2 linked regions of the Nothobranchius furzeri genome follow. The protein of the gene in region 1 binds, or shares a complex with, the protein of each later gene. Links are inferred from orthologs where the notes say so. Each region holds a gene or a part of one and is shown on either strand. Other genes may lie near its edges. The genes, in order: nrip1b and esrrga.

Region 1 (4,377 bases):
CTGCTCCTCCTTCACCTGTGTGGACTGGGACTCCAGCAGCACTGCAGAGTTAGTGTAGTAGGTGGCAGTCTGTTGTTTGAGCAGCTGGCTCAGGAGGCCGTATTTAGCTATGACCTCTGGCGGCCGCGCTTCTGTTTTCAAGTCCTGCTGAGGGTCGGAGAGCTGGCTTTTCTTCTCACAGCCACTCAGTCTCTTTTTGCTGCTAAAGTCCTCAGACCTGGCAGGAGGTGGCCCCGCCTCCTCTGTGAGCTCAGACTTTACCTTCACATCTAAGATAGGTTCGTTAGAGCTGTCACAAAGGACAGTGGTGGCAGGGCTGGTCTCGTAGCACCCCCCAGCTGCCTCAGTACTCCTCCGGTAACCACCACTGGACTTGTCTTTGCGGCTGGTGGTACTGCCGGCCGACCCGGTTCCTAAAAGAAGCTGCAGCACAGTGCGCCTCTCCAGGAGGTTCTCGATCTGTGAGGAGGGAGTGGACGGCTCCTTGTGAATGAAAGGTGTGCCGCTGCCTGATGCTCCATCTGACAGTGGAGTGGTGCTGGTCCGGTGGACTGGAGCATTAAGTCTTTCCATCAAGGCCAGGGGCCTGCTGGTGTCGATCTCCTGGCCCAGGCCTTTGCTGGAGGGGATGGGCGGGGTGGAGGAGGAGGAGGAGGAGGAGGTGGTGGTGCCACACTGGGCCAGATTCTGCAACAGTTTACTGGCACTAAAGGCTGGCTCTGAGGACCTCTCAGCTGGGAAGGCTTTAGACTTACACAAATCTAGTGGGCTGGACTGAACATGGGGGGAGGGGTAAGAATACGGGGAAAGTGCACCACTCGGGTCCTGACTAAAAGAGTAGAGGGACTGGGGCGGACCTGCTGACTTTTCTATGGAGCTTCTGGTTCTGCTCTCCTCCCAGGACATCAGTCTTTTCTGCTGACTTTGAGACATGGTGGCCATAGTTATGTCAAGAGGCAAGTCCTGTGTCCCGCTGCTTTTGCTAGCCATCTCAGAGTTCCTGCGCTCGAGCAGCAGCTGCATGAGAGTGACCTTCGGGTGGGATTTTAGGTCCGGACTCATTTCTGGCTCCTTGTTGTTGGAGACGTTTGATCTGGATGGCTCTGGTTTCCACTTGTTTATTAAAGACTCCGTTAGCTTGTCCAGGGAGGAGGTAGGGAAGGAGGAGGACGAGGATGAAGAAATAGCAGTGGATACAGAGGAGACAGTCAAAGAAGAAGGTGAGTAGGATGAAGTGGAGGGCTGAGCACTGGCTTGAGGAGAGGATGATGCTGGGGTGGAAGACAGCACCATGGTACAGGAAGAGAGCACAGAGGTGACGGAAGAGGAAGAAGAGGGAGCATTTTTGGGCCCAGTGTCTTGTGCACTAGCACTGCCACGACCTCTCATGGAGAGGTCAATTGGGGAACAGCTGGAGTAGGAGCTCTCAGCATCACTGCTGTCCTTGGTCATGCTTCTCTCATGGGTGGAGCATTCACTGTCCGACGTGACAGAAGAGGAGCCGCTTGGAGGCAGAAGGCCACCGATGTCCTCCAGGTGTCCGTTCTTGGTCAGCTGCTTCTGACTGTTGTGGTTGTTCAGCAGCAGCAGCAGCAAGCTGCTGCATGTCTGCGGTGGGCGGACTGGACGAGCATCAAAGCCTCTTTTCTCTCTGGGGGGCTGGCTCGGCGCGTGGGGAGCAGCGGGTGGGGAGCTTTGGCTGTGGCCACGCAGCAGGGATGGGCTCTGAGGACTGGACACTGCCGTCCGAGGGAGTGTTGCCATCATCGTGGTAGTTGTCATTCCATTCTGAGTTGCTAAGGAGCTTAGTGTGTCTGGAGACCCCCCAACACTTGGAGGCCTTTTGTCTGTGTCGTGCTGCTGGCTGGCCATTGCAGCCAGTCTCTCGCTGGCTGATCTCCCTGAGAGCTGGGCTTTGAGAGCATGCTCTCTGGAGTACTGCTGCAGATGTGCTTCGCTGGACAGCAGCAGAGCAAGCTGACTGCAGGCCACGCTGGGCTTTGGTGAGGGGGCGGGGCTAGAACGAATTTTCACCAAGTTAGCCACTGCTTTCAAACGCTCAGCACAGGACACCGACTCAGCAGGAGCAGCAGGAGGCGTGGCGCTGTGTGCTGATCGAGGGGACTCTGGTGGCCGGTCCTGGCTGTGTCCACGGCGGCTGTAAGGGGTGTTGTTGTGATTCTGTAGTTTGCTCTTCCGCATGAGGCCTTTCAAGCGGCTGGAGGCTGTCCCATAAACAGGTAGGGGCTCTTTGTCTGCAGCTGGAGCCTTGGCTGGAGATGGACACTCACTGGTGGGTTTACTAGTGTTCTGAGACAATGCCACATTCTGAAGCTGTGATGTGAATGACTGAAGCAGAGATGCCAACAGGGTGCTCTCTCCAGCATTAGGGGATTCCTCCAGCGTTCCGTTTTGCAGGCCTCCCACTTGGCCATTCAGGTCCATGGGGGGTGAACTCAGCCGCTGGTTCCCCGGATCATTCCACGCTCCGGAGCGCAGCAGGCGAGCCTTCTTCAGGTGTTGTGAGGAACCCAGAGTCGGTCTATTAGTTCCAGCCTTGGGCGCTATTGGAGCATGGTGAGTTAGTGGGAAGGACCCCCCCACCTTGTTGCCCTGTTGCTGATTGCTGTGGACAGCCTCGGACCTCCCGCCTGCTGTGGCCCCAGGCCCGGCCACCACTGGATGCATCAGTAAACCTTCCAGATAAGTTAGAACAGCTGAATCCTTGTGTGTCTCAGGGCCAGGCTCCTCCCCATGAGTCATGTTCAATACTCAGATCCCCTCGTATTGCTTAGCACTGCTACTGGAAAATAAATGTGATCTGGGTCATCTGGTTCAGTCATGCACTGGTTAGTCACCAGAAAGAGGGCCGGTCTTGGCGCCAGGTGAGAACAGAGAAGAGCAGAAGGATGCGCTCGCTGGACTTGGATCGTTCTGAAGAGGCTACAAGCAGCAACGTGCTGAAGAAGCAACCATGCCTGGAAGCAATCTGGGGCAGGCGGCCCTCCAAGGCATTGCTGTATGCCTATAAACGCTGCAGGACCCCAGAAGGCCAAGATTCAGGTTGATGCCAGTAGCAAGCGAGGAGTCAGCAGGAATCCACCACCATGATGTTGACGCATTCCATGGTTGTCTGTTGTTCTGTCAGTGGTGTCTCTGTAGAGCTCACAGCTGAGGGGGGAGATCTATAAAAGTGAGAGATAGAGAGAAAACAGGGAGGGGTGGTGGGGGAAGGAAAAAGGGGAAAAATAGGAAACCATGTGAGAAGCAGGGATTTGCAGAGCACTATATCACATTCATTTCCCCACCTTGTCTGCCATCGCTGTTACTTAGCAACATTTCAGATTGACTGCACACGGCTCCTTCTCTCTGCACTCTTCCCTCACAGCCACCCAACACACAACACATGTAGATGAGCCTTGATTGGATTCAAATTGAAAATTCAAGCTCACTACCTTGAAAACATTCAGGTCTTGAGCTGTAAGCCTCTCACGGCTGTGTCTTTCAAAAGTGAAGGGCCTTCTGAGAGCTGTGCATAATTCTTTATGCAGCTTGCCATTTCACTGGATTAGCCCCCCCCCCCCCCCCCCCCGACTCCGTTTGCAATTGAGCTTCATCTAAAACCACACAACCCTTCATCTAGCTACAGTAAGAGCCACCCACCCACCAACAGAAGCACGCTTGCTTAAATACACGAATGAGCAGAAGTATGAGGACATACAGTCTGAAAACACAGAGGACACCGTGAAATAGTCTCTGGGCATTAAACAAGTATAAAGTATTAGGTGAATACATCTGAATTGTTGCATAATGTCTTTAATAATTAAGGTCTTAGCTCAGGCGCGTGTTAACACAATGCCAAAGAGAAAAATCATCACAGACACAAGGAGCTCCATCTCAGAAGCCTATATTAGCACGTTTAACGTTAAATGGCTGATCAGCTGAAGACACAAAGCTCTTTGTGCTAAAGACAGGGCAGCCGGGCCACGCTTATGTGTGGAAAGTTACCCTTGATCAAACCACAAGGTTTCTGAAGCAGCAACTACTGGGCCATAATGAACAGGATCAAGTCTGGAGATCTGATGAGCTGTGATTTAAAAAAATTAGTAACATCAATGCAAAAGTCTAAGCATCCTCTTATTTTCTATTGGAGATTATTTGCTTTTTAGGAAGGAGCTGCACCTTTTTGCTCTACACCTGACCAAAACTAGGGATGCACCGATGGATCGGCATTTGATCGTAATCGGCCGATAGCGCCCCTATCGGTTTTGATCGGAATTTTCAAAATAGATCAAAGCAAACCGATCAGGTAGAGTTGTCACGGTAACCAGTGTAGCGGTAAACCCCGGTAAAAAAAAAAAAGTTGACAATAATAAT
Region 2 (4,323 bases), on another chromosome or scaffold:
GCCCATCGCATCACAGGAGGAATCCTCTTCTAACTCCTAAATGTTTTTAAATTACGTCTAAACACTTTATATTTATGTTTGGTGTTTTACAAAATTCTAATATTAGTCAAGATCCTGACTTGGTTAAGTTGCATCCTTAAACAGAAAACATATTTCTCCACAATCATTACAGTATTTTCATTTGAAAATCTAACTAATTAAATAGTGAAAAAGGGACGTTTGACACCGGTTCCGGACAGAAATCACCACTTTGCTGCCCTTCCTTTCATAATCGCGCTGCAAATCTGCGCCTGAACAATTTGCACGGCCGCTGTGCAATTTTCACCACAGGTCCGCTCACCTCACACCCACTGACAAAAAACATCAAATTCACTAAGGTCACACATTTTAATGACATGCAAATTGTATGTATACGGTGACATGAGGGGAATGCAATTATGTTAACTGCTTAAGCGGTACTTGTTATTATTATCGGCATGATCATCATTATCCTTAATATTTTAATTAGAAACGCAGCGCCTTAAAGGAAAAGGAGGCAAAGCCTGAGTGGAGAAAAAGAGGAATGGTGGACAGATGGATGGATCGATGGATGGAGGGATGAAGGAGCGGACAGACGGCTGACTGGACCAGAGGGTTCTCTAAAAAAACCTGAGAGGTGACACACACACACACACACACACACACACACACACACACACACACACACACACACACACACACACACACACACACACACACACACACACACACACACACACACACACACACACACACACACACACACACACACACACAGGTTAAACAGGCACATCTTGCTGCAGAATTTTGGGACATTCATGTGCATTTTTCCACATTCACTCTTTCTTTCTGACACGGTATGTGCATCACTCGTCTCCCCATCCAGAAATGTAAAAACGTTGTCCTCATTAAAGGTTCACTCTGACTTTAATGCTCAAGTCGACGTTAAAAAGCATTGTTCTGCAGTTGAGACAGAACCCAATCAGCAGGATTGTGTTCCTGTAAACAGAAGCGTCAGAAATTTGTGTTTACGTTTCAAATGATTCACAAAAAAAATCATATTCTTACACCTTGCTTCACAACAACATCCTAAAAACTGCCATTTGTAAATGTTTAAATATAGTTTGAATGAAAAAATCTCATTTCAAATCTAAAAATCTCAATGGGAAAATTAAGAATACACATTAAATGACGCTTTAGCATGCTTTAGTCAAAAGAAGAGAGACAACATGAGTGTTTCGTTTCTCCGTCAGATCTTCTCTGTTAAAGGTCTCTAACTATCCGACCTGCTGTAAAGGAAAAAGGGTTCTAGGAGACACACGGAGAGACAAAGACAAGCCAGGTTCACGGCTCACAGGGACACTTTCTTTTTAAATGTTAAGGATTTCTTGTCATTTTCTTGTTTTTTGGTGTCACTGGCTTTGACAGCTGTGCAGGCTCCAACCGACGCTTTAATTTAGTTTCCCTAAATGTTTCTAGGTTTTTGTCCAAGACTTTTCCAGAAACTAAAGTTTTATTTTACGTTAAATGAGCAATAAAATTATGTTAAAATGTGATGAGATGCCAAAATGAAACAAGAGTGCTGTCCAGTCACCGGTCACACTCTACAACCCATCGCTTCAAAAAATTCTTCACCTTTTAACGTCTGAGAGAAAAAAGCCAGAAGAATTAGCGTGCATGTGTGTTACAGCCGTAAACATGAGCAGAATTATGCATAATATCTGTCGTGTGCAGTTATTTAGCTTTTTGGATGATCTTCACCTAAAAGAGCAAAGTTTTGGTTCAAAAGAGCAGCTGAAGAGTGTCTGAGAGGAACTGTCTCTAATTCCTGAGCGGGGCCACACGCTGAGCAGCCGGTCAGACATTTGACCTCCTCCGGCATTTAAGAGCGCAGCTTTCCCTCTTTTCCTCCTCCCTCAGTTCTTACGGGCCGTTCTCCTCCCGTCGCTCCCCGTTACCTCGCTGACTCTCTGCCTGGATGAACTTGCACGGACACACACACCAGCAGTCACACGGGTCCTAACTCAGTTGGGTCTTTGTCTCTCAAACAATTTTACTGACAAGAATGTTTTAAGGCAGAAAAAGTGAAGAGTAGGCTGTTTGAATGTGTGTGACAGGTCAGGTGTGTGTGTGTGTGTCTTACTTCCAGGTGGAGGGACAAAATCTGAGCTCCTCCACCTACAGATAAGAGCTGCTGTCTGGACACAGCAACTACATACAGGCATTGTCACAAAAATGCACACACACACACTCACGTGGACAGTGATCCTGTGCTACCTGACAGCGGGAGCAACCTTGACATGCTGCATTCCAGCACACCAAACACAATCACTAACTTGCATGCAGTCACTCACAGCAGAAGACAATGAATGACAAGTTGGCTGATGAGTAAAAAAGGGAAGATCAAAAGGTAAAATTTACCTACTCTTGTTCAGAGTGCATTAAAAAACACTCGGATAAGGGATGTCCTACCGACTCCATCAGCGGTACCGGGTCATTGTCACGCCAACCTCCTTTATGGAAACGGCAAAAAAACACGAAAAAGAATAAAAAAAATCAAAGTTTTGATATGTTTCCTCTTTCTCCTCCTCTTCTGTCTCTGGTCGTCCCCCCTCTCTCTCTCTCTTTCTCTCGCGCCCAGTCCTTCCTTGCACTTGGAGGGAGTAACACAATTACCAGGCTCTGGTCTGCGCTGCCTGCACTGATCGGCTCTGCGAGTGTGTGTAGACGTGAGGAAGCGTGTGTGTGCAGTGTGTATGTGACAGCCGGGAAAAGGGGCTATAGACACACACGCGCGCACACACATACACAGCCAGCCAGCCGGGCAGTTGGGACAGAAAGCTGTGCTGCTGTCCTAATCAACGACTTAAAGCTCCGATAGTTGCTCATGAATATTAAGCAGGATTTTGCATATGCAGTCCCTCAGGTCCGCGTTCTGCTGTGATTGGTGGACAGCTGACCAATGGCTGCAGGGATGGGTGGAGAAAGGGGTGGAGAGAAGCAGAGGGAGCGAGAGAGAGGGAGAAAAGCAGGTGGAGAAGGAGGGATCAGACAAAGAGCACAGAGGAGAAGAGAGAGGAGAGAGGAAGGGAAGAAAGGAAGCAGGGAGAAGAAAGAGTCAGGTGAGGGGAACGGTTTGAAACAAGAATACCAGCACTTCTGGTATGATCCATCTTTATGATCCAGTGTCCCCTTTGGTCTCCACTGCCACACTCTACACCAACCATTCAACAAAAACAGATTTTAAAAACTGAAAAGTCAGAAAAAACAAACAAAAAGCCCAACTTTCATTTGTTTTAAAGAAGTTTTTAGCCTAGCTTTCTAGGAAACACGAGATCACCTTGATCTGCAGCATCTTTCTGGTAAAAACAACACGGATTTGAGCTTGCCAGCATGCAGAGCACAAACGGGACATAATCAAATCCAAAGAATTGCCAGATCAAAGGAACAAGTGCAAGCTTGACCTGAAACTCAAGAAAAGTGTCACATCGATAACATGCTCAGAAAGTCAGAGCCCAGCAGAGCCCCATCACAACCCAGCAGTAAAATACCAGATTACGGCAATTCCAGAGAACGCGCGTCCTTTGTTGTGGAATGATTTGGACATGATTGGGACAAGGTTTTCCCCGCCACTTGCTGTTTTGTCAAGCTCTCCTTCATCTTCTCACCAGCAGGCTGTTTGTGTGCAGTATTTCTGAACATGCTGGAATGTTTGGACACTGGAATCTCTTGCAGAATCTGTTTGCAGCGTTGGTCATCAAGCGAGAGGCTGACCGAGAAAAGAACGCACGGCGAGCGGGAAAGAAAAACTGGAGCTCTCTCACCGAGACTGTCATCTGTTTTGCCACAGTTTACTTCTTCTCCTCTCTTATTTCATCCTTTCCCAGTAACTTTTCCAAGACTCTGGTATCCCATCAAACACAGGATGGTTGGGAAGACTGAAGTGTGCAGCACGGAGAGAGACAATGGGAAAAGACTAAATCAGAGGGGTGGAAAAGGGGGATGCAGAGATGAAAGGGAGTGGTTGTAATTAGCACATTTGGAAAGAACAGATAACATAACATTTCCAGAAACCAATCTCTACTTTGATGTGTGTGTGTGTGTGTGTGTGTGTGTGTGTGTGTGTGTGTGTGTGTGTGTGTGTGTGTGTGTGTGTGTGTGTGTGTGTGTGTTTACAATTGTGCACAACAGCTATTTTCTATTTCTTCCACAAATAATATGAACAGTTGTAATGTTTTCTGCTGGTTAAAACCTGAATTGTGCATTTAAAAAGCTGAAGTCAGGAAACAAATGTAGGTGAAATGA

Evidence for each region.
Region 2: the proteins of nrip1b (region 1) and esrrga are in contact, whole or in part, in a crystal structure (PDB 2GPP), measured with the Homo sapiens proteins. The link is inferred for Nothobranchius furzeri from reciprocal best matches to the Homo sapiens genes NRIP1 and ESRRG. Residues at the interface, in NP_001426204.1 of Homo sapiens: Ser378, Leu379, Leu380, Leu381, Leu383, Leu384, Lys385, Ser386, Gln387; in NP_001429.2 of Homo sapiens: Val277, Ile280, Lys284, Phe289, Leu294, Gln297, Met298, Leu301, Gln302, Lys448, Leu449, Glu452, Met453.

The regions. Positions count from the first base shown.
Region 1 is NC_091750.1:42,800,679-42,805,055, forward strand, and holds the start of nrip1b (nuclear receptor-interacting protein 1), read right to left. Parts: upstream 2,991-4,377; 5' UTR 2,764-2,990; coding exon 1-2,763. UniProt on the Homo sapiens protein: Modulates transcriptional activation by steroid receptors such as NR3C1, NR3C2 and ESR1. Also modulates transcriptional repression by nuclear hormone receptors.
Region 2 is NC_091749.1:33,701,898-33,706,220, reverse strand, and holds the start of esrrga (estrogen-related receptor gamma a), read right to left. Parts: upstream 2,911-4,323; 5' UTR 2,500-2,910; coding exon 2,444-2,499; exon of another isoform or gene 2,440-2,443; intron 1-2,439. UniProt on the Homo sapiens protein: Orphan receptor that acts as a transcription activator in the absence of bound ligand. Binds specifically to an estrogen response element and activates reporter genes controlled by estrogen response elements.